4 linked regions of the Sus scrofa genome follow. The protein of the gene in region 1 interacts with the protein of each later gene in a pairwise test. Links are inferred from orthologs where the notes say so. Each region holds a gene or a part of one and is shown on either strand. Other genes may lie near its edges.

Region 1 (5,212 bases):
GTCCAAGGAGCAGACACGCGGGAGGGGGGACCATCCGTCCCCGCCCCTGCTTCGCAGTTGCTCTGGCTGCCCTCCACCCTTTGCCTCACCTGCCCTGGTCTAAGGCCAGCTTCCGCACCTGCCCCTCAGCTTCCTACCCCCAGACCCCCTAAGACCCCCTGCATCCGCCAGACCCAGCACCCCAATCCTCTTCTCCAGCCCTCGCAGCCATTCACCCCTTTTGCTCGACATCCCATCCCTTCTCTTTTGCCAGGGTTGGAGTTAGCCCTTTCTCACCCCAGCTGCCAGCACGCCCCACCCAGGGCCCAGCCCGCCCCCCACTCCCCCGCCAGTCTTCCCATCTCTGGGACACCCTGTCCAGTATCCACTCCCCTTTCTTATAAAATCACCTCAATTCCCCTTCTCTGCCCCTCCTCTAGCCCTCTCGTCCCTGTCCTCCAGCGTTCCCCCCCCCCACCGCCCCTCGGCCTGACTCCAGAAAGGACAGTCCGTTCCAGCCTCCGCCACGTTCGCCCCGGGGCCCCAGAGCGGAGCCCGGGCCGCTCCCGTCAGATGGCAGCAATGATAGGGGAGGCGAGCGAGGCTAATGCACTTAGCGGGCGGAACAGCCTGGCCTCCCCTGCGGGCCCTGCGGGCTCGGAGCTGCGAATCCGGGGCCATCCGAGGGCGGGAGGCTCGGGACGTTCCCGCCAAGGACTCCGGTGAGGTCAGAAGGGCGCGGGGCGCAGTCTCCGGGCTGCCAGGGCCACCAGAGGGCGCGGTCTGAGCCTTCGGGCGCCAAGGGATTAGGCGTGTCGCCGGTCTGGAGTCTGACCCCTCTCATCTCCCAGCTCAAGCTCCAGCTCCCTCTGGGGCAGGCCTGCAGACAGATGGCTTGGCGCTCCAGGTACCGGGCCGTCAGGATGCCAGGTCTCCCCTCCCATCCCCCCAAATGGGAAGTGGATTCTGCGACATCGACTCCATGGTCTTCCTGGAGTGGGACCCCTCTGGTGATGTCTAATGCCCCTCTACCCTGGGTAGGCCACCAGCCCCTGCCAAGATGGGCCCCTGGCCTCCTCCGTGCCACTCGCCCCCCCTTGTCCCCAGGGGAAAGTGTCTTCTAATTGGGCCAGGCAGCCAGGTTGGGACATGAGTCACCACAACAGCTGCAGGGGTCACAGACAGGAACCTGACCCCCCCCAACACCCCCCCCAACCCACCTTGGGCTCTCAGGACAGGGAGGGCAGAACACCTGATCCCAGTTGAGGATTGATTCTGTCTGGATTCAGAACCAAGATAGGTCAGTCTTGGGGTCACTGACCCCATGCACACCCCGAGGCACAGCTAAGGACAGTCCTGGTGCCAGCCCCCTCCATATTATCCATGAGATCATTTAAGCAAACCCTGAATGCCAGCTGGCCTCCCGGGCACTGCCCAGTGCCAGAGGATTGGACACGGAGGCCAGTTCGGCACAGCAGTCACCATAAGGAAGGGGGATTGAACGGCCACCCTGTTTACAGTTCTGTCCCTGCCACACTCCCCCACACAAGCGTGGGCGACCCACTAGCTCTGCCACATTTAGCCGAGATGCAGGGCCGGTTCCCAGAAGTGAGCAGGGGGACACCAGTGGGTAGGCCCCACAACCACAAGGACAGAGACAAAGTCTGGCAGGTGACTGAGCATTTATTGCAGCGCTAACAGAGGGTGCTGGGGGCTCCATTTGGCCTCTGCCCTCCTCACGTCCCCCTCCCTCGGGTCTTCTCCAAGCCTCCTTCCCAGCGCATTCCAGATCCTCTCTCACTTTTTTCTCATTGTTCTCCGAAGCTGAAATCTGTTCGGGGCCCACCCTTCTTAGGGGCCTCTTGCCCTCACCCGTACCTTTTGTCCTCCCTCCTAGGGCTGGGGGTGCTTGGCTGGGCTGGCCCCCAGCTCTCCACCCTGAGTGCCCGCTGTCTTTGCTCCCTTCCCCTTGGAAACTCAGGAGACCCAGGCATCCCGGCCTCTGGCTCCCTCCTCCCCTAGCCCCCAACTCTGGGCAAACTACAAAGCATCCATGGCCAGCAGCTCCCCTCCGTGGTCCTAGCCAGGAAGGGCCCAGTCCAGGGCAGGCACAGTGGAGCCCGAGTCACCGTCCCTCTCAGCCTCTCTGTGCTTCCTGGGACATGGAACGAGACAGGGAGCGACGAAGGGCGCCAGGCTTGCTGACAGGCACCACAGGGGGCAGCTGCTTGGTGATCTCGGCCACGTCCTGGCGGTCCAGACACTGGCCACCCAGGGCTGTTTCCAGCGCCAGCAGCTCCCGCAGCTGGATGGGGGTCTCCTCGCGCTCCTCCTTGGCGGCGCCCACTTTGGCAGGGGTGAAGATGGGCAGCGGCAGCACCCGCTGGTAGGGCAGCTGGTACTCCTGCAGGCCACGGCCTAGGATGCCCATTCGCATCACCAGCCAGGGGGATCGCTGCACCAGCGCCTGGCACTGCCCCTGTTGGTGGTAGGTCTCACGCCGCTCGGCATCCTCCTCGTGCAGAGAGCAACTGGGAAGAAGAAGGCCGGGGTGGGGGGAACACTGAAGTCCTAAAAGCTGTTGCCCTGCAGTCTCGGCCTGGGTGGCGGGGCTCCCTCGGGCTGCCGGGACCTGGGGTGCAGTGGGGGCGACTCCACCTTGCTCTCCCTGGGGAGCACTCTCTTTGCCCCCCCCCCCCCCACGCTCCTCCTGGGCTTTGTGCTCTGTCCTCTTAAGGCTCAGGGACAGTGCTCTAGGGGAGGAGAGGGACCCCCAGGAGGGGAGGAAGCACTCACCCCTCCTCCGGCCGCGTGGACAGCGTCAGATCCTTCCACTCGGCCCAGAAGGCCTCTCGGCGCTCACAGTTCTCCTCGGACACCTGGCAGCTCAGCTCTGAAGTGGCCATGATGACCGCTGGCTTGCTCTGGGCTCTGCTCCTCCCAGGCCCTTTAAATAGCCCCCTCCTCCCCCTCCTCCAGGGGCTATTTTCAGCCCCTCTGGCGTCAGATGCTATAAGCAGAGCCAATACTCACTGATGGGGGGACTCTGGGCCCAGGGCGGGGGTTGGGGTCTCCGGACTCTGGCTGACCTCAGGTCAGAGGTCAGCTTCTGAAGAGATCGAGGTGCTCCGGTGGGGGCGGGGGTCCTCGGAGTGACACCTCCAGGTGTCTGACACTCTTTAGACACTGTCTGGGACCAGGCACATGCCCAGCCTCGTGCCACCTTGGCACATGCCTTCCGCCCCACCCCTTCCCCCTCGCCCAGGGAGGACAGCGGCTTGTCTGTAAACAGCAGGGACCGAGGCCCCCTCTGGGCTCTGTACCAGGCCATCAGGTGCTGTCCCCACTGCTCTCCTCTGCCTGCCTGGAGTCAAGGGCACCCCCCCAACTGTGCCCCTCAGCAAGGGACAGTGCTGCCACGTCCTCAGGCGCCTGCACCCAGAGGTCTGGTCCCTGACCAGCAGGGGTACTGGAAGTTAATGTCGCACGTGGGATCTGGGACACAAACCTTTGCTGGGTGTTTTCCTCTTCTGGGTCCAGTGGCCAGAGGTGCAGCCTCCCGAGTCAGGCCAGTGGGGGTGGAGGGAGCACAGTGGGTGTTGGCCCCCCTCCCCTGACACCTCAAGTGGGGCGAGACAAGAATCCAGGGGCTCCAAGGAGCAGCAATCAGATCTGACTCTAGCCCCACATCAGCCACAAATAGGCTGTGTGACTACGCGCCCCTCTCTGGGCCTCATTTTCCCCATTTTCTGGTCACAGCCGCTTCACCAGAAGAGCTCTTACCAGCTCCAAGGTGCCGCCTGGGAAGGACCTGGCTCTCATGCCCAGGGAGCAGGCCGGTAGGAGGGCTGTGGGGACAGCCCAGCATCGAGGGCGGCAGCTCATGCTGCAAAAAGCTTGCACCCAGGGTGAAGGGCACGGGGGAGGGGGAATGAGGGCGTCCCTGAGCAGACAAAGCAAAGGGCACCGAGAGAGGGAGGGACAGGAGCTGGGAGGAGAACCCAGCACTAAGGTCCGTGGGCCCCGCCTGGGGCGGAACAGCAGCCTCTGGATTACTGAGGCGCTGCACCTGATTCCTGGTCTCTTTATAAGGCAGGAAATGAAGGCTCAGCGAGGTAGATTCACGCAGGGTCACAGGCCTGGCCAGGGCCAAGGGGGTTCGGCTCTAAGCAAGTCAGCCCCTCCGGAAGCCTGCAGGCACAGGGCGGGGAGGGCCGCTCTCCTGGTGGCCCCAGGGAGGTGGAGCAGAGAAGGTGGGCAAGTGAGCCCAGAGGCTGGGACCCAGACGTGCCTCAGGGACTGGAAAGTCCGGGGCCCCAGCTCCTCCTCCCAAGCCTGAGCTGGAGACCTTAACTTGACCTTCCCTCCCAGGAGACCAGGCGGGGAGGCAGGGACTTTTTCTCTGACCAGTCATCTGCCCGAACTAATTTAAAAAGTTGGAGGTGAGGGGTGGGGTTCCAGAAACTGGGTCCCCAGTGGCTCCATCCTCCTCCTGGCTCTGGCAGGGGGTGAGAGGGCGTGTGATGTGTTGGCTCTGGCAGCGGCTCCTTCCCCACCATCATGGTTGAGGTCATGGTTGTTTTTTTTTTTTTTTTTTTTTTTGTCTTTTTGCCATTTTCTGGCTACGCCAGAGCCACAGCAACACGGGATCCGAGCCGCGTCTGCAACCTACACCACAGCTCACAGCAACGCCGGATCGTTAACCCACTGAGCAAGGCCAGGGATCGAACCCGCAACCTCATGGTTCCTAGTCAGGTTCGTTAACCACTGCGCCACGACGGGAACTCCCTCCTGGTTGGTTTTTGTGGCCATGCCCACGGCTTGTGGAAGTTTCTGGCCCAGGGATCAAACCCACACCACAGCAACAACCCGGGTCAGAGCAGTGACAACGCCAGATTCTCAACCCACTAAGACACCCGGGAACTCCAAGTTCGTATTTTTAATTGGCTCAAATGACAAAGGTCCCCAGGGAGGCCCTGGGCGGGGGAGGTGACCTGGAGAGAACCTGGGAGAACAGGTCCCCTGCCAGCACCCACTTCTCCCACCTGCCACCTGTACCCCGACACGTCCAAGTGGAAAAAGGTCCCAGACCCTTTAAATAATCCTAAAAAACCACTGATGAGAGCAGACAGATGGAGGGGCTCTGGCACCTTCACACTGGTGATGAGGCTCCCTGACCCCCGTCCTGCCCAGGGTCCTGGCCCTCCCCAACCGTGTCTGAGGCTTCCATTCC
Region 2 (6,143 bases), on another chromosome or scaffold:
AGGCTACTGGCAACAATCTCCCATCTGGTCATTAGCCAGGTCACCTTCACCCTCGCCCATCCCAGCCACCACTGAGATAAATGTAACCAATGCAGAGCTCTCAGGGAAACTCTCAACGACTTCCTGTTGTCTAATTTATTAAGTGTTAAAAACTCTTCAGCACAGTGTCCACAGGCTGCCAGTGTGCCAGCAGCATGCTCTGTACTCCAGCCCAAAGCACCATTTGCTCTGAGCTTTCCCTGCACTCCTGTCTTTGCTTCTGTGCCTTCTCTTGGAAAGCTCCACCTATGTCCCCTGCAACAACAGGCCCATCAACATCTAAGTTCCTCAGTGGATCAACTCAAATGCCACCCCACCCATGAAGCCCTCCTGACTCCTCCACATCCTGCAGTTTTTGTCACATGTTCTTTGGACTGTGGTTCTGTATATGCATGTTTTATCTCTGCTATATATCAGACTGAGTTCCTTGAGGACAGTGACTTGTGTCTTATTCAGTTTTCAATCCCCAGAGCCGAACACAATAGAGACACCTGAGAAACGCTCAACCAATATATATTTTTTTGGGCCGCAGGTGTGGCTTATGGAAGTTCCCAGGCTAGGGGTCAAATCAGAGCTACAGCTGCTGGCCTACACCACAGCCACATCACACCAGATTCGAGCCAGGTCTTCAACCTTCACCACAGCTTATGGCAACGCCAGATCCTTAACCCATGAGATCCTTAACTGAGCAAGACCAGGGATCGAACCCTTGTCCTTGGGTTTGTAACCCACTAAGCCACAACAGGAACTCCTCAACCAGTATTTTTTGAGGGAATGATTTCCTCTTAAAAGGATAGGCTTGGCTACAATGTACATTACTCATTTAAGTGCTTTTCCTGAGGTTGCAAGGTCTTTTACAATAGAAACTTCATTTTGTTTAGAAAAGAGTTCTCATGTCTTGCTCAGACCATCACAGCCCATGTGATAATAAACACAGTTAACGCCTCAGCTAGGTGAACTAATTACTCACTAAAAAAATGTCACCAGTTCTCTCCTTCGCTGTAGTTGCTAAAAAGCTATTGAAAGGAATAAGAAAATTCTCCAAAGATCTCTGAAAGGTTTATGAATACGCGTAACTTATTATTTGTTAATAGAGCTTATTAGATTCTCAGTAAGCGCTCAGTGCACTAGCATGAAGGGCACCCATGACCAGTCACAGCCCCCTACTCTTTGCTGGTAATTAAGTGCACGCTGGGGATGTGCTAACACAAGGTGTTCATTGCAGGAGGTTTTTAAAATCAAGGAGAAATAAAACTGCAAATTTAGCACATAAAAAATAGACGTGTTTCTTTTTCATTTTTGATCTGATTTTAAATATTTAAACAAAACATATAGCTGAAACAGTGGTTTCACAAAATCCCGGCAAATATCAGAACTGAAACTGATGGCTCAAGAAACAGTCCAGGAAATGGCCAGAGAAACTATCATTAAAAAAAAAAAAATCACCTTGGTAAGTGAGACAAATGCCAAGGGGTATAGGTATTTCAGACCAGATAAAACCCAGATCTGGAAGCAGGACTCGGTTTTCATGTCCACTGAAGATGGCCCTGCCATCTGTTCCCCACTGTGTGGCAAAACGAAATAAGGGGTCTGACCCCATGTCCCAGTTACTACTGTATTACTGATTGTCGATGGAAACTAAATTTAAATGTTTAAAGGCTGTCCAATTTTCTGGGCATTTTGGGGGTGGGGGTGGGGTATAGGATGAAAGAGGAGTAGGCAAAAGGGAGGGAAACGCACACTAGAGCTTTCTTTCACAACTTCTAAAAAAACCTGGATCATCAAGTGGCATTTGGATATTTTAAAATTTTGTGGAGCCTCCTATGGTGAAAAGATTAGCAATCAGTTTTTAAGTTGGAATTTTTCGCATTTCCTGACCCTCACAAAGAGGAAGTGGTTAAGACGAAGCGAGGCTTTTTAGATGACTACCTTTGTGAAGCCAGGATGATGCTCTTCAGGACCTGTTTTGTCTGTTTTCACCTCAGGCAGGGGGGTCATTGCTCCTTTTGGTGACTGGCTTCCTAAATTCTCAACACAGAAATGGCTTTCGTTCTACTTGGATGACATTCTCCCCAGTCCTGGAGAAGCCCGTCACCGAGTCCTTATTGAGTGCTCACAGAGGGCATAGCTCAGTGACTCGGCACGAACATTCCCATTTGTTGTTGACAACTGTCAGCGGCACCTCCCGCTCCTCACAACCCCTGTCTAAATGGCTTTTGCAGTCCTCCTTCCCACCCACTCTCTTCACTCCTTGGGCCAGGAATGTTGGCCCCTGTTCCCTGTCACCTGTCAGAATCCATCCTCCTGTCACTGGCTTATATGGAGAAGTCAGCCAGCTGTCACGTGACCCTCGGCTGCTAAAAACAGCTCGAGCACTGCTCTGAACCCCAGCCTGAAACAATGTCCTCCACCAAAAGAAACGTAAAGGACGCTTGATTGTACAATCCTTGGAATTATTTCCAGGAATCACTCGCCGAAACCGTTCGAAGCACGCTTTCCCTGGCAGTGCACACGGGGACGGCCAGGAGATGAGCGCATCTTTGAATTACAAGTCTTTTTCCAAAGAGCAGCAGACCATGGATAACTTGGAGAAGCAACTCATTTGCCCCATCTGCCTAGAGATGTTCACAAAGCCCGTGGTCATTCTTCCCTGCCAGCACAACCTGTGCAGGAAATGTGCCAGTGACATTTTCCAGGTAGGTTTGTTTGGAATCTAGGGGTAGAGGGAAAAAATGTTCTCATCTCCCAATCAAGTGCTTAAGTCTGAGGTGAATTTCTCTAGGAAGCGTTCTAAGGTTGCATTTATTTAAAACAACAACCAAAAAGAAAGACCATTTTTAAAAGTGATTTGCTTTGTGCTTTGCCATCAGCCTCCTCCTGGCTCTCAAATCTAATTTTATTAAAATATTAAGAATCATATTTGTCCTTTTAGAAACATTGAATCTGTTTCAAAATTGTAAATGAATTACTGCCCAAGGCATTACTGTTGGAGTTTCTGGCTGGAACTTTTGGTTATGAAAACGTTAGGTGGAAAAGGACCTCATGCTGAAAATGGCACATTGCAGTTGACCATGGGTGAGGGTTGGTCCTGTGTTTTGGGACCAGTTACTATCTCCCAGCAAGGAGTTGATGTTGTTTGTAGTAACTGAGAGGGAAAGGAGGTCCCAGGAAAGCTACCTGTGGCAATGCTCAATTCCTCTTTTCTTGCTCGGCAAGAACAGGCCTCTAACCCGTACTTGCCCACAAGAGGAGGCACCACTGTGGCCTCGGGGGGCCGATTCCGCTGCCCATCCTGCAGACACGAAGTGGTTTTGGACAGACATGGGATATACGGGCTTCAGAGAAACCTGCTGGTGGAGAATATTATTGACATCTACAAGCAAGAGTCCACCAGGTATGCGCCCCCCTCCCCTGCCCCCGCCGGCCGTGTCAAACACGTTGGAAGCTTGCTTTTGTTTATTTGTTTGTTTTAGTGGGTCGCTATACTGAATGCTTGTTTGCCAATCACGGGCTAATTGTTTTATAGGAAAATGTTTTTCCAAGTCAGTCCTTACCAATGGGAGAGAGAGTTGCTCTTGGGAGGAGAGAAGGAAGCTGGTGCCCATGCTTTTCTATCAATTTAAGAATGAAGTAACTCATTATCACTAATCCAGTCCAGATGGTGATCTTGAAAGAGGCATGATGCTGCCCCTGCTCCCAGCCTGGTATTACATCCACAGGAGACGTTTCTGCACTTCACAGGTCCTTTAGAGCTCCAGAGTCTACACAATAGGAAATTAACAGAAATGACATCTTCCAAAATCAACCTCTTAGATCAGACAGTCTCACTTTAAAATTTTCTAGAGGAGAATCATAAAAAGAAAATCCTCTGACGTGGTCATGGTATTGACTCTGGAAAGGAGCAAAGCAAGGCAGAGTCCTAAGCTTTAGCAACTTAAAAGTTTAGAGACGAAGAAAAAAAAAAGAAGAAGAGGGTGCTCAGGTTATGTTTCCCTGTTCTCTAGGTTGTACTATGGGCTCTTGGCATTCACTTGCTGATTGACACGCAGTATACACATCAGTCATTAAAAAGGGGCAGTGGGTGCATCTTACTCATCGAATCACATTGGCTATAGTATTCCTTTCCTAAAGACAACACTGCAGGAGTTCATTCCTAGAAGGCATGGTGTGAAGAGCCCCCTTTTTAATGGTACAGTCAGTGCAGCCCACAACACCAGATAGCAATACTGAGACCATCTAGAAATGACCTCGCTGTGCTTCCTATTAGGAGACGTAGACTCATGGAACATCTGCAGGGCCCTAGGAGCCTTGTGCTCTTAGAAAGAAAGCTGTTCTATAAACCTAACATATAATTATTATCATCGCTATGGCTATTCATTTCTGCTTAAGATTCAAAACTAAATTAGATAGTGCCAGGATATAGATGGCACTGGGAAGAATTGCTGACAACGTACTGCAGAGATGGAGTTGGCTATTTCCCTTGCTTCCAAAATCTCTTGAGAAGAAGGAAAGTACCATTTTTGTAATTACGATTTGATCTCATTTTATTTCATTACTTTAAGATGCAAATAGATAAACTGTCTCTTAAATTAACCAGCCAAATAATAACCAACTGATCATTAAGGCTCTTTATGTAACAACTGATTCAGTGCCTAGTACAGTGGTTTGCACGGAATACTTGCTCCCTAAGTGCCAGGTGATTATGCAACCCCATAAATCTTCTTACACATTCTATTTATTGCAATAATTTTCTGTTTTGCTACTTGCAGAGTGAGAGCTTGAATGATATGAAATAATAATAGTAATTGTTATGTAATCCAGAAAAGAGGAGATGTTAAAAATTTGTAGCAGTAGTAAAATGACAAGACACATCCTGGCTTTAAAGTCTGTGCAGCGCGACTGCCAAATACAGTGCCCGGGTGAACAAGCTGCATAAAAGCAATGAACCAAACTTCCAACAACGAAACTCATGACTGAGTAGACTAGCAGTGTTTTTGTGATTATCAAATTCTTCTTATGCTGGTGTTTCTGGAAGTTGAGACTTGCCTTTGGGACATTTTTACTTAGTGGCGAAACCACAAATTGTACAGAGGGCTTGGGCACATGTTTGAACATAAACCCAGTTGTTCCCTGGAGGCTGGCAGATTTACCAGCCCAGAACCCTAAGGCCCAGGGTATGTTAGGTGACTCTGGAATAACGAGGATACATAGAGTGAAATGAACTGACTCTGGCCCATGGTCAGGGTGGGCGCAGATAGGGGAGGAGGCTGGTCCAGTCTGGCTTCCCACAGAATGGCTGGAGATGGTAGGTCTCAATGAAACCTGGCCTTCTAACCTATCATTCTGCCTGGTGCTGAACTAGCCACAGTTTGGGAGTGGGATGATGAGAGAAGGAACTAATTTCACTAATATTAATAATGAACATAATAACGAGTAACTGTAAAACACAGAAAGTAAAACAATTATGTGTTGAATATGTGTCAGCCACTGTTCAGGCTGCTAGACACATGAATCATGTGTAATTCCTTAATTCTCATAATAATCATGTGAGATTGTAGTTATTATTATTATTAACACCTTATTAAAATATTAAAAAATTTTAGTCAAAGTAATTCCTATGCACATGCATAATTTTAAACATTCCAATAGCACTACAAGACCTCAAATGAGGGCTGCATTTTTTTTTTTTTTTTGTCTTTTTGCCATATCTTGGGCCGCTTCTGCGGCATATGGAGGTTCCCAGGCTAGAGGTCTAATCAGAACTGTAGCTGCCGAGCCACAGCAACTCAAGATCCGAGCCCCATCTGCAACCTACACCACAGCTCACAGCAACGCTGGATCCTTGACCCACTGAGCAAGACCAGGGATCGAACCCTCAACCTCATGGTTCCTAGTTGCATTTGTTAACCACTGAGCCATGACCGGAACTCCAGGGCTGCATTTTCTGCCCTACTCTCTCTTTGAGCACTGAGGGAACCACATTTAACTCTTTCAGCTGTTCTTTGGCCATTTGTCACCCAGTGACAGGGGAGGAGTATGCTGCTAGTCTGCTCCTAGTCCTCGACTTTGCAACTGTAGACAGGGAGGACTGAGCCCTTGCGTGG
Region 3 (6,131 bases), about 37 Mb from region 1:
AACCAAATACACCAGGATGTATACTTACGATAATAGATGCTCATCAGAAACTGTAAAACAGGAACAGAAAGAAAGGTAACTGTGTTAAACCAGTAACCATGGACAAAAACATCTTAAAAAGACTAAAGCTAAAAAGATCTTTGTGTCAGATGGTGAACTGAGCCTAGGCATCAAATTTTACTCTTTCCCAATATTCCACTCAACAGTCACCAAAGGATAAAAACAAAAACAAAAACCAAAAACTCCCAAGGATGAAGCCAGGAGAAACACAACTATGATGAAAAAGAACTTATAAGACCTGAGAAAACTGAGCTGGAAGCTGTCAATGGGGAAAGCCAAGCAACAACCTGATTTACACCTCAAAATCTAGTAACCCCCCCAAAAAAATACCTCAGAAACGGGTGGCACCAGACAGTTCTGGAGGTCTTTGAAAGCAAGTTTAAGAAGCTAGAAGGTAGTAAAATAACACTTTGAGATGTCTGAAGAAATATATCCAACATATAATTCAATACCTAGCCAAACTGTCAATTAAGTGTGAGATGGGAAAACAACTTTTTCAGACATGCACAGCCTCAAAAAGTACATCTTGTACTCTTCTTCTGGAAGCTACAGAGTATGTGCTCTATAAAATAAGGCAGTAAACTAAGGAAAAGAAAACTGTAGCATAGGCGTTCCCGTTGTGGCTCCGCAGTAACAAACCCAACCAGTACCCAGGAGGATGTAGTCCCTGGCCTTGCTCAGTGGGCTAAGGATCCAGCATTGCCGTGTGCTGTGGGGCTTGGGTCCCGAGCGGCTGCGGCTGTGGCGTAGGCCAACAGCTGTAGCTCTGATTCGACCCCTAGCCTGGGAACTTTCATATGCTGTGGGTTTGGCCCTAAAAACGCAAAAAAAAGAAAAAAAGAAACTGGAGGATATACTAAATTTAAGGCCCAACTTAAGTAAAGGGAATTTCCTTAGATGATGGCAAAGGGCGGTCAGGAGAGAGGCCACTCCATATGAGTGTGCCCCAGGAAGCTCTGGGGGTGACTTCTACAGGAAAAGGAAGTTGCTAAGACATTTTATTCATCCTAACAGCTTGAGTAGATATTTAGAACGCTGGTATATTGAGTGAGGGAAAAAGGCATAGAAAAGTAAACAAGCAAACAAACACAGTTTTAATTCCAGAGAAAGCAGAAAGTTACAAGAAAGAAAAAGTAATCATAGCTTTGTCCATGACTCAGCGGTAGCTAGATTTTTTCCATCATCAGACATGTGTAAACTCAGGCTACTGATCTACAGAAATGATCATTACAGGACGGGGGTCAGGAAACTAGTCTAAAACACAAGTTTTTGAATAGCAGAAAACGACTCTGCTGAAAAAGAACATGAATCAGTGGTGGTGGTCCCTCTGAGTCACGAGCATCAGGGCACCCACCGTGCCCCCTTCAAGACCCTCGCAAGTGCACAGATGAATCCATTGCGATAGAGCCCATTTCTGGCAGGCAGCGTTTGAGCTGACAACGGATTGGCTTTCCCCCATCCTTCTGCGGATCAGAAAGTGTTTGAACACCTGGCTGCCCTAATCGCTGAAGCCTATCCGCTGCTTTAGTTTTAACGAGAAAGTTTACTTTAAACGAGAAAGCAAAAGTTGGCTTCCTTTTCTCAATTCTTTAACAACAGTAACAAACACTTTTCAAAGTGCAGCCCTTTTCAAACAAAAGCCATGCAAGTGAACAAGCAGGGGCAGTTCTGAGGCCACTGAGACGTTGGCTGAGCAGCCCGACGGCGGCGATGCACTGCGGTCACTTTGGGCAGGATGCTCTCATACAGGTGTGAGCACGCGGACGCCGCCGAGGTCGGCCGGGCGCCCGGGAGCCTGGTCACAGAGCATCCTCTGCTGGTCAGAGAACGAAGGCACGGTCACAGTGCCCAGCTGTTCTCCAGTCACTGCGTCCGCACACGGGTTCGCAGCCCTAAAATATTTATTCGCTGAACAAGGTGTATGCGAGGATTAATTTCAGCGAGTCTGGACTCTTAAAAGGGCTGCAGTGGAGGCGAACAGGCCGGAACCTCCCTCCCGGGGACTCCGGCCCCGGACCCCTCGACCGGCCCCCCGCCCCCGGACCCTTGCCGCCCGCCCAGCCCAGCCCAGCCCAGCCCAGCCCAGCCCTACTCGGTGCGCCGTCCCGCACCGCCGCCGCCATCTCGCTCAGCAGCTCTTCCACCACAGCGGGCAGCGTAGGAACCCCCGCTGCCACCGCCATCGCCGCTTCCGCACCAGCCGGGGGCGGGGCGAGCGCGGGGACGTCAGCGTGCGTCCCGGCGCACGCGGGCGTCGGGGCCAATCCGACGAGCGCTCGACGCGGGGGCGGGACTTCCGGGGCCTTGGGCCGCAGTGCGCAGAGGACGCGGCGCAGCCATGTACCGGCTCCTGGGCGTGGGCCTGGCGCGCGGCCTCCTGCGGGCGGCTGGGCGGCAGCGCGGGGGTCGCCCGGCGCGCCTGCCGCCGGGGCCGGTGCGGAGTCGGGTGGACGTGCCGCCGCGCCTAGGGGTGCCGCGCGGCCGGGGTCCGGGGCTGCTGCCGCTGTTGGCAGGTGAGGGGCGTGGGCCGGGCGGGGGCCGGGCGCGGGCCGGGCGCGGTGACTTCAGAGCCCCTTCCCGCAGCGCTCGCCTGGTCCTCGAGGCCCGCCGCGGCGGAGCGGGAGCGAGAGCGAGAGCGGCGGGGCGAGGGCGAAGCAGCGGCCGAGGACGCGGCGGCCGAGGCGGAGGCCGAGATCATCCAGCTGCTGAAGCGAGCCAAGGTGAGGCGGCGGCGGCGGCGGCGGGGCCCCCGGTCACCGGGGCGGGTGAGGAGGCGGGAGGCCCCCCGTCCTGGGGGTGCCTGTCAGACGCCGCAGCCGGCTCGGGGCGCCGGGCCACAGGTGCAGGTGCTGGTGCAGCGCGGGCGGAGCTGTCTATCCAGACGGAGTTAGCGGGACGTTTGGAGCTGGAAGGGCGGGCAGGGAGGAAAATGCGCCTCGGTGTGGGTTATGCGCGATTTAGTTCTCTTATTCCCAGACAGTCCTCTCTGGCATCCTCTCCCGGGTTTCCGCACCGCTTCCCTTGGGCTCGTTGACCGCCGCCTCGGGGCCGACGTCATGCACACTTGCGCTCCCAGGCTGCGGGGTGCCGCCGGCTTCACCTGCCAAAAGCTAACCTTTGATCTTAAGGGCCTCCCCGACATCTTGCTTCTCCATCTCCTCTTTACGGCCATCCCCCCGTGTTCGTAGTCATTCTTAGAACCTGGCATACCTAACCATCACTCCCCGTACAGAGTCCAGCCACAAGTCCTTAGAGGATGTTGCCATCAAATCCAAACTATTCGGCAAACCTGTCCCCTTCTGTGTCTCTCTTCTGCTGTCACCCTAGCCGCACGGCCGCAGCCTGCTCCCTCCTACTGCCTCCTTGCCATCCATTCTCCAGGCAGCAGCCAGAGTGGGTTTTTTTCCTTTAATTTTTTTTTATATTTTTCAATTTTATTTTATTTTTTAGGACCATACCGGCAGCATGTGGAGGTTCCCAGGCTAGGGGTCGAACCGGAGCTGCAGCTGCCGGTCTTTTACTACAGTCATGACAACACCAGAACTGAACTGCATCTGTGTCCTACAATGCACCTCACAGCAACACCAGATCCTGAACCCACCGAGCAAGGCCAGGGATCGAACCCTCACCCTGGTGGATACTAGTTGGGTTCTTAACCTGCTGAGCCCCAAGGGGAACTCCCTCTTTTTTTTTTATTTGTTGTTTTTATGTGAATCAGATCATATCCCTTCCTTCCCCCAAAACTTGGGACGCCTCTCCTGTGCATTTAGGGCAGAATCAAACTCCTTGCTGTGGCCTGTGGGGCCTTTCGTGAGCCACCCCACACTGCCTCCGTGTTTGGCAGTAATCCTCTGGCTCATCGCGCTCCTTTCACATGTTTCCTTTCCTCCTAGCCGTTTACTTTAGCGGGGGGGGGGGGGGGGGGCGGCCTTTGTGTGCTTCTCTGTGTTTGGGTCGTTTTCCCCACAGTCCCTTATTTGCTGGATGCTGTCTCTTTCTTCTTATGCCAGTTTAACTGCCACTTCCTTGGAAGGCTTCTCTGACTCCCATTTCGAGGAAACCTCTCCATGTTCTTTTCTGTTGCTTTTCTTTGTAGCTTTTGTCACAAGTTGTAATGAAGCTTAGTGGTCCTACAGGGTCACGTCCAGCTTTCAGGAAGAGAGAAAGAGGACGGAGGGCCAGCAGCTTCCTTATAAGATATGATAAGAATTTGCTTACAGGAGTTCCCGTCGTGGCGCAGTGGTTAACGAATCCGACTAGGAGCCATGAGGTTGCGGGTTCGGTCCCTGCCCTTGCTCAGTGGGTTAACGATCCGGTGTTGCCGTGAGCTGTGGTGTAGGTTGCAGACGAGGCTCGGATCCCGCGTTGCTGTGGCTCTGGCGTAGGCCGGTGGCTACAGCTCCGATTCGACCCTTAGCCTGGGAACCTCCATATGCTGTGGGAGCGGCCCAAGAAATAGCAACAACAACAACAACAACAAAAAGACAAAAGACAAAAAAAAAAAAAAAAAAAGAATTTGCTTACATTCCTGCAGTGTGCATCTACGGGCTGCAGTTTTGTCATATGGCCACGCAGAGTGGCGGTGGAGGCTGGCCTCCCAGTCACCGTTATTGGCGAGGGTCTGGAGCCCAGGAGGAATTAAGGGAACACGGGATGAATGAGTAGCTTCCTTCTGTGTATTCAGCTGTGCCCACTTCTGTCTGGCAGCACCTGCACTTGCTCGCTTGGTATGTCATTTTACATTATTTTCTTTGTTTTCTCTTTGCAGTTGTGCATCATGAAAGATGAGCTAGAAGAGGCGGAGCTAATTTTGCACGACGCCCTTCGTCTTGCTTTTAAGAGTGATAACAAGAAGGCCATCACTTACACTTACGATTTGGTAACTCTTCTAACCAGCTGGAGCCACTGACAGTGGAGGGTGGAGCAGCAGAAGGGTTGTTTGCTGTCCTAATTCATATTCTTGACCAGCAGGATGTCCTAAAGCTCTCTGGTTTTTGTTTTTACTAAGCTTCCTTTTGGTTTCCTCTTTTAATAACCCTTGGGGTTTCACTTATAAGACTCGGGAGTTCCCTGGTAGCCTAGTGAGTTAAGGATCCGGCGTTGTCACTGCAGCGGCTTGGATTGCTGCTGTGGCTCAGGTTCAGTCCCTGGCCCAGGAATTTCCACATGCCGTGGGCATGGCCAAAAAAACCAAAAACAAAAGCGCAATCCTGGAACCAAAAGAAGCATCATCAGTGTTGCTTTCTCAAGTGAGGAGTGCATCTCGATTGCGCCTGTTATCGTCGGGGCTGTGCACGTATTTGCTCTCACGTCATTGCTCTGCTTTGCTTCTCGCAGATGAGGACACGTTTTTGTCTGGACGGTTTTTTTCGTTAGAGGGTGAAGGCAGGTGGGAGGGGTCTGTAGCTTAAGGGATTTGAAGTAGGTCGGAACACAGTGGTCTAAACTGAAAACAGCTTGTGGTTTCTTTCAGATGGCCAATGTAGCATTTATACGGGGGCAGCTTGAAAATGTAAGTAAATCACTCGGTAATGCTGTGAGTACGTGAAGGACTCGCCTGGTGTTAGGAAGGGTGCACACCAGGCCGCCGTAACAAAGAGACCCCGACGTAGACTCAAATCAAAGGGGAGTGTGTTTCCCTCCGACACGTTCGTTCGTCCAGAGGTGGCGGGACAGGTACCTCTGCTGCACAAAGTGGCCAGAGGCGCAGTGATCCCCTCTGAGCTTTGTCCGCATCCGCCTGGAAGAGGAGGCTCCCTCCAGCCTGCAGGAGGGAGCAGGGGCTGGGGGCCAAGCAGCTTCCTTGGAGAGAAGGACTTGGAAGTTGTTCCCTTCACGCATGTGCCTCTCTTGGCTGCAGCTCATTGTAGGACCCCACCTAACTGGTACAAGTTTGGAGGCTTCACCTCTTAAAAATTGAGGGGACGCTGACTAAAAACACAGCGAGTGGGTATTAGGGAATTGTTTGCAGTCTCTGCCGTGGTGGGTCTGGATGAGAAGTTAATGTCCGAAGTTGGTTTCTACTCACTTGCAGAGTAGTTTTTAAGGGGCCCAGGGGATGCGGGGTCCTG
Region 4 (6,091 bases), on another chromosome or scaffold:
GTCCAAAAATGAGTACAGAGCTATAGTAGAACTAAACTCAGTTATTCACAAAAAGAAGGGTCAGCTCCTGGGCTCTTAGCTACTGTTAGTACTGTACGGACATGAAATGATTCTGCCCTGAGACTCAGCTGGTTATCTCAGTGAGGAAGCCAGACAACAGCTTTTAAGTCAATAAAGCCGTAACACTCAGTTCTCCAAGTCATTTCCATCACCATCTTCAAACACCTTCTCAAGCATGTAAGGAAGCTATAATTCAAGTCAGTCTGGAAGCAAACTGAAACCAAGACGAAATTCAGAGGTGAGACTGACAAAAAGCAGTCAGTAAGGACAAGAGACGTTGAAACTAATTAATTCCTGGAGTTCCCTCATAGCTCAGTGGGTTAAGGATCTAGCATTGTCACTGCTATGGTGCTGGCATAGCTGTGGCATGGGTTTGATCCCTGGCCTGGGAACTTTGCATGCTGTGGGTGAGGCCCTCCCCCAAAAATCCCAACTAATTAATTCCTCATGGGAAATCTAATTTCCTTTTACTGAGTTCAACTTCAAAGAATATAAAGATCTTGGCTCAAGAGTTTAGCTGTAGGATCTCCTTAACAGCATACATAACTATTCTATAAGCAATTATGTCCATTAGAACAAGCTGGTTGTTTTCAAATAGGAACAGAATTAGCTTTTTACTAATGTCTGTTTTAGCCTGTAGATAATAACTTAGGTGTGAGGTACAAAAAGTAATCACTAAGTTTACCGTATATTTCTGTATATAGAGGCAACACAAGCCCATGTACTTGAAACCAGGTCAGGTAATGTACATGCTACTATGCAGAGTTGATGAAGTTACTGTTGTTTATAAAACATTAACTGGACAGACACAATGTAGTCTTTTGGGCCTTAAAAGCTTCTTTTTTAGAATGTATATAAAATTTATATATATATATTTTTTATGGGATGGAAATCCTGTGAAATTGGATTGTTATGATCATTATACAACTACAGATGTGATAAATTCATTTGAGCAATAAAAAAATAAATTTATATATATTTTTATTAAACAGTAATTGATTTACAATGTCATGCCAATTTCTGCTGTACAGCAAAGTGACCGCACACACACACATTTCTTTTCTTATATTATCTTCCATCATGGTCTATCCTAAGAGATTGGATATAGTTCCCTGGGGTATACAGTAGGACCTCATGGTTTCTCCATTCTACATGTAATAGTTTGCATCTACTAACCCCAAACTCCCAGTCCATCCCACTCCCTCCCTCCTCCCCCTTGGCAACCACAAGTCTGTTCTTTATGTCTGTGAGTCTGTTTCTGTTTTGTAGGTAGGTTCATCTGTGGGACCTTGAAAGTTTCTTAAAGAAATTAATTTAGTTTTAGATTTCCATACTTGAATCTCAACCTTTCCATCTGTAAACCTGGCAAGCACCTCAAAAAAAAAAAAAAAAAAATCTCCCTTTTCTTCCAACTAACTGATTTGTGTATAAAACCTGAGTTACACAGACTAATTCTTTCAATTACCCTCCCTGCAAAAATTCAGAGCTTTAAAAAAATCTTGCAGAACAGAAGAGTAGTGAGCAGGGTGTCCTGGGTTTACTAGTTCTGACATTAATTAGCTGAAGCCTCCCATTGTTTACCTTTCTGGATTTCTTTCCTCATCTGCAATTTGTTACTATCTGTTGAGCATCATGTCTGGGTTCTGTGCTGAGTGTTTTACATATTTTATATGATCCTATATTATTGTGATGTAGAGGCTTTGGGGCCAGACTCAAATCCTAGCTCAATCACTTACTAGTTGTATGACCCTGGTCCAGTTACTCAACCTCTGTGCCTCAATTTCTTTATCTACCTCATAGGATTGTTACAAGGATTAAATGACTTGATATGTGGAAAGTGCTTATAATGGTGCCTGGCACATAGAGCTCAGTAAGTGCAATTCCATAATAATAATTATTATCAAACAACAACCCACTACAGAAACTGAAATTCGGAAAGGTTCTTTTTGGTCCAGGTTCACACTAGTAGTACAGGGGAGGGCTGGGGGTTGAACCTAGGTGTGTCTGAGCTTGCACCCCTCATTTTTACTGCCTACTTACTGTTCAGTGAAGTTGAACTAAAAAATAACACCATCCATCTGGCAGGGTTACTGGGGAAATTTAGCAGTCCCAAAATACATTCAATAAATGGTAACTGCTGTCATTATCTGAAGTCCTTTCTAGACTCTGTTTAGAATGATTCAAATACTATTCTAGAAGAAACAACTATGTAGTGCTAGAACTGCAAGGGACATCTCCACCTTTATAAGTATCAACTGAAAACATTCAGTTTTCTAATTTTGCTATTGGGAGATGATCTCTATTTACAGAAAAGTCCCCCAAAAGTGGCAGGGTGGCAGGAAATGCAAACTAGAGAAAGCACCCTAGGCTCCCAGTCAACATCAAGTGCTGTGCAATCCCTGGAAGGGCTGTTGTCAGATACTTACATCCCAGATTGAGTCCTTGTGAATCTGTGCACAGGACTCCAACAATGGATGGATTCTTCATTCTAATTCCAGGGACACAGGAAGAAAGAAGCAAATGATGTAGGAAAAATGGATTTAAATATAACACACACAGGCTTTCTATGTACCCAGCACTGCTGTTAAGTGCTTTAAATCAGTGTTAGTCTTTTTTCTTTATCCCTCATCCCTACTCCAAGAAAAATTACATTAAATCATAATAAGCTAACTTTAATGATGGTTAAACTAATTTCTCTCTGATGAGAGAAAAGACTGCCAGGTACTGCTAAGCTTTGGAGGGCTACAAACGTTGCAATAGCTAGGATTTTGTTGCCCTCGTTAAAAATATGTATTTTAGCCTACTCTCTCACTTGAAAGAACTGCTGAAAAGCTAACTAAAACTGGTTGCCCCATGGAGAGGAAGTGGGAAGCTGAGCGGCCCTGATGCAAGGGAGGTGTCTCCCTGTACGCCGTCTTAAACTTTTCTAATTTTGGATTTTACGTAGACACTATCTGTTCGAAAAATTTAAAGGATGTCTTTCATCTTCTTGAGCACCAAATAACTGGTTACACCAGAAGGAGGTACGCGTGTGTGTTTACGTTTACACTGAAGATACAGGTGGTAGGTACCTCCTTCCCCCAAATGAACTCGGTTCCTAAAACTCCTAAAGAACGGCCCCGCCCAAACAATTTCTACACGACAGGCGGGATTTGGGCTCGGACCCGGGACACTTGTTCCGGAGGGAGTGTGCGGAGCACCGGCGGGATTTAATTCCGGGTTACCCTCCACTCCCATCGGCGGCCCGGGGAGAGAACGTCCCCAAGAAGCCCAGCGGGCAGTCACAGCTCGCGCCTTCTGTTGCGCTCAAGGACAGGCCCGCCGCGAACCCAGGACAGGCCGACGTGGCCACATTACTTACGTGTCCTCCAAGTGCTGCTCCAAGGTTGCTTCCATCCCGCCGCCGTCCGCCGGGCGCACCACCCACGGTGGGTCTTCTCCTAGGAAACTGGTCTCCGGCTCCGCTTGGTCAGTCACATGATGCGAGCAGGACGCGGACCTGGACGGCGCCTCCAAAGGGACAAACTTCGTGGCGCAGTCTCGGCGTTTTCTCCGGGATGATGTCATTACGCGCCCTCTGCCGCCGCGAGCTGGGCGGGGTTCTGCTGCCTGGGGTGCGACCCGCGAGGGGACCGCGCGGGATGTACCCCCGGGAGGGAGGTCTGTAGTCTTCCCTTGGAGCCAGCTTCCTGGCCTGTCCCTTTGTCTCCGCCGTACAGACCTTTGGATTTCGATTCCACCGACTCCGAGAAGTCGGGCCAGGTCTGGTTGAAGTTTTACAATAATCCGGCCGGCCCCGCGGGGTCCCATCCAGGTGGTAGGGCAGGGACAGACAAGAGAGACACAGGATTCCGATGAAGGGTTCCCCAGGCTTGGAGGGACAAAGAGAGGAAGGACAAGGGACTAGAGGATGAGGCGGAACAAAATTAAAACCCCAAGCTGGGTAGGGGGGCAAGTGTTGCGATTTTTCGAAGACGTTGGTTCTTCCTCTTTGGAGAGGATTCGGGAACGTTTGAGAAAGAAGGTGTCATTGTAATAAAGACTGGGTAGGACCACTTAAAAAGTAACCTTTAAAAAAAGTTAATTACAAAAGCAGTTATAGGGAGTTCTGGTCGTGGCTCAGTGGCTAACGAATCCGACTAGGAACCATGAGGTTGTATGTTCGATCCCTGGCTTGCTTAGTGGGTTAAAGATCCGGCGTTGCGGTGAGCTGTGGTGTAGGTCGCAGACCCGGCTCGATCCCACGTTGCTGTGGTGGCTCTGGCGTAGGCGGGCTACTACAGCTCCGATTCGACCCCTAGCCTGGGAACCTCCATATGCCGCAGGAGCGGCCCTAGAAAAGACATAAAGACAAAAATTAAAAAAAAAAGCAGTTGTAAAAATAAGGAAAGAAAGCCCACCCATTGTCTTTGTCCGGAGATGACTGATAAGGCCTTGGAGAATATTCTTTCCGCCGGTTGGTTGTCTTTGCAAATGTATACTTTGTGTTATTGTTTTTTCTTTTTTAAAGCTAAGTTGACACACATATTGTACAAACAATTCTGTAGCTTATCTTTTTCACAAAATTTAGCAAAAATGTCTTTCTGACATAAAGTTCATTTACGGCATTTGTAATACTTAGAAAATATTACATATTATAGCTTAACCAACCCCTTATTAATGTACAGTTAGGTTGCTTATAGTTTTGTTGTTGTCGTTGTTATGTTTGGGTTTTGGCTGTGACAAATGCTGGATGAATATTCTTATGGCCAAATATTTGTGCAGTTTAAATTTTTTCTTATAGTAAGTTACAAGAATGGAATTATTGGGTCAAGGTTTTAAAGTCTTTTAATATACACTTACAAGTTACCCCCCAGAAAGGTGGTTCCAGTTTACACTCAGATTGGTAGCATTTTGATGAGAATGGGAGTGTGCCCAGAGGCTCACCCATCCCCCCATAAGCCTCTACCCGCTCCCTGTAATCCTCCTGGCAGCACACCTCGACCTCCCTTTTCTCCAGCCCTCTCTCCTCCAGCTTTTATTCACTTTCCAGCTTTACTCAGCTTTCACTTCTGTTCTGGGGCACAGCTTCCCGGTTCCTCTTGCCTTGAATTCAAGAGTCCCTCTTTATTCCCTAGCTGTGATGGTGAGAAACTTTCAGCTTCCTTAAAATTCCAGCCTTGAATGTCGTAATTCAGGAGTTTTAGACTCCTGGCCTAGAGAAATGATTTATATTAACTTAGGGGTTACTATAATATGCGACATTTAAATTTTAGAAAAAGCAGTTTAAAACCACTCTTAAAAGATAGCATTAAAAAACGTCGGGAGCCCGCCCACTTGTCCTGCAGTACCGAGGCAGCTGGGTACTGCAGTACCGCCCCCTTGTGGTCCATGTGGTGTAAAGCTCTGCTGGTCTAGGGCTTCTCAGCTCTGGCTTTTTTTAACCTTCGAGGCAGCGCTGTCCAATAGAAACGTAATTTTGTTTGTTTATTTATTTATTATTATTTTAATAGTTATTTCACCATACAATTTTTTTTCTACTGTACAGCATGGTGACCCAGTTACACATACATGTAGACATTCTATTTTCGCTCATTATCATGCTCCATCATTTGAGTATATGTAGTTCCCAGTGCTACACAGCAGGATCTCATTGGTAAGAAACGTAATTTTATTTATTTTTTATTTATTTATTTTTTTTGCAATTTCTTGGGCTGCTCCCACGGCATGTGGAGGTTCCCAGGCTAGGGGTCGAATCGGAGCGATAGCCACTGGCCTGCACCAGAGCCACAGCAACTCGGGATCCAAGCCGCGTCTGCAACCTACACCACAGGTCACGGCAACGCCGGATCCTTAACCCACTGAGCAAGGCCAGGGATCGAACCCGCAACTTCATGGTTCCTAGTCAGATTCATTAACCACTGAGCCACGATGGGAACTCCAGAAACGTAATTTTAAATGTCTTGGTAGCCACACTAAAAAACTTAAACAGGTGGAATTAATTTTAATATTTTATGTATCCATATACTGTGTCCAAAATACTATCATTTCA

Evidence for each region.
Region 2: the proteins of TCAP (region 1) and TRIM55 interact in a two-hybrid assay, tested with the Homo sapiens proteins (2 studies listed by BioGRID and IntAct). The link is inferred for Sus scrofa from reciprocal best matches to the Homo sapiens genes TCAP and TRIM55.
Region 3: the proteins of TCAP (region 1) and TTC19 interact in binary tests that used the Homo sapiens proteins (3 or more experiments, as listed by UniProt). The link is inferred for Sus scrofa from reciprocal best matches to the Homo sapiens genes TCAP and TTC19.
Region 4: the proteins of TCAP (region 1) and LAMTOR5 interact in binary tests that used the Homo sapiens proteins (3 or more experiments, as listed by UniProt). The link is inferred for Sus scrofa from reciprocal best matches to the Homo sapiens genes TCAP and LAMTOR5.

Annotation. Positions count from the first base shown.
Region 1 is NC_010454.4:22,650,020-22,655,231, forward strand, and holds TCAP (telethonin), read right to left. Parts: upstream 2,886-5,212; coding exon 2,776-2,885; intron 2,511-2,775; coding exon 2,117-2,510; 3' UTR 1,647-2,116; downstream 1-1,646. UniProt on the Homo sapiens protein: Muscle assembly regulating factor. Mediates the antiparallel assembly of titin (TTN) molecules at the sarcomeric Z-disk.
Region 2 is NC_010446.5:68,527,170-68,533,312, reverse strand, and holds the start of TRIM55 (tripartite motif-containing protein 55), read left to right. Parts: upstream 1-2,385; 5' UTR 2,386-2,567; coding exon 2,568-2,735; intron 2,736-3,255; exon of another isoform or gene 3,256-3,260; coding exon 3,261-3,433; intron 3,434-6,143. UniProt on the Homo sapiens protein: E3 ubiquitin ligase that plays an important role in regulating cardiac development and contractility, muscle growth, metabolism, and fiber-type differentiation.
Region 3 is NC_010454.4:59,415,064-59,421,194, reverse strand, and holds the start of TTC19 (tetratricopeptide repeat protein 19, mitochondrial), read left to right. Parts: upstream 1-2,373; 5' UTR 2,374-2,398; coding exon 2,399-2,573; intron 2,574-2,643; coding exon 2,644-2,780; intron 2,781-4,828; coding exon 4,829-4,939; intron 4,940-5,533; coding exon 5,534-5,572; intron 5,573-6,131. Other genes in the region: ZSWIM7 (zinc finger SWIM domain-containing protein 7), read right to left, coding at 29-50, 2,153-2,243. UniProt on the Homo sapiens protein: Required for the preservation of the structural and functional integrity of mitochondrial respiratory complex III by allowing the physiological turnover of the Rieske protein UQCRFS1.
Region 4 is NC_010446.5:109,720,331-109,726,421, reverse strand, and holds the start of LAMTOR5 (ragulator complex protein LAMTOR5), read right to left. Parts: upstream 3,759-6,091; 5' UTR 3,628-3,758; coding exon 3,422-3,627; intron 2,549-3,421; coding exon 2,487-2,548; intron 1-2,486. UniProt on the Homo sapiens protein: As part of the Ragulator complex it is involved in amino acid sensing and activation of mTORC1, a signaling complex promoting cell growth in response to growth factors, energy levels, and amino acids.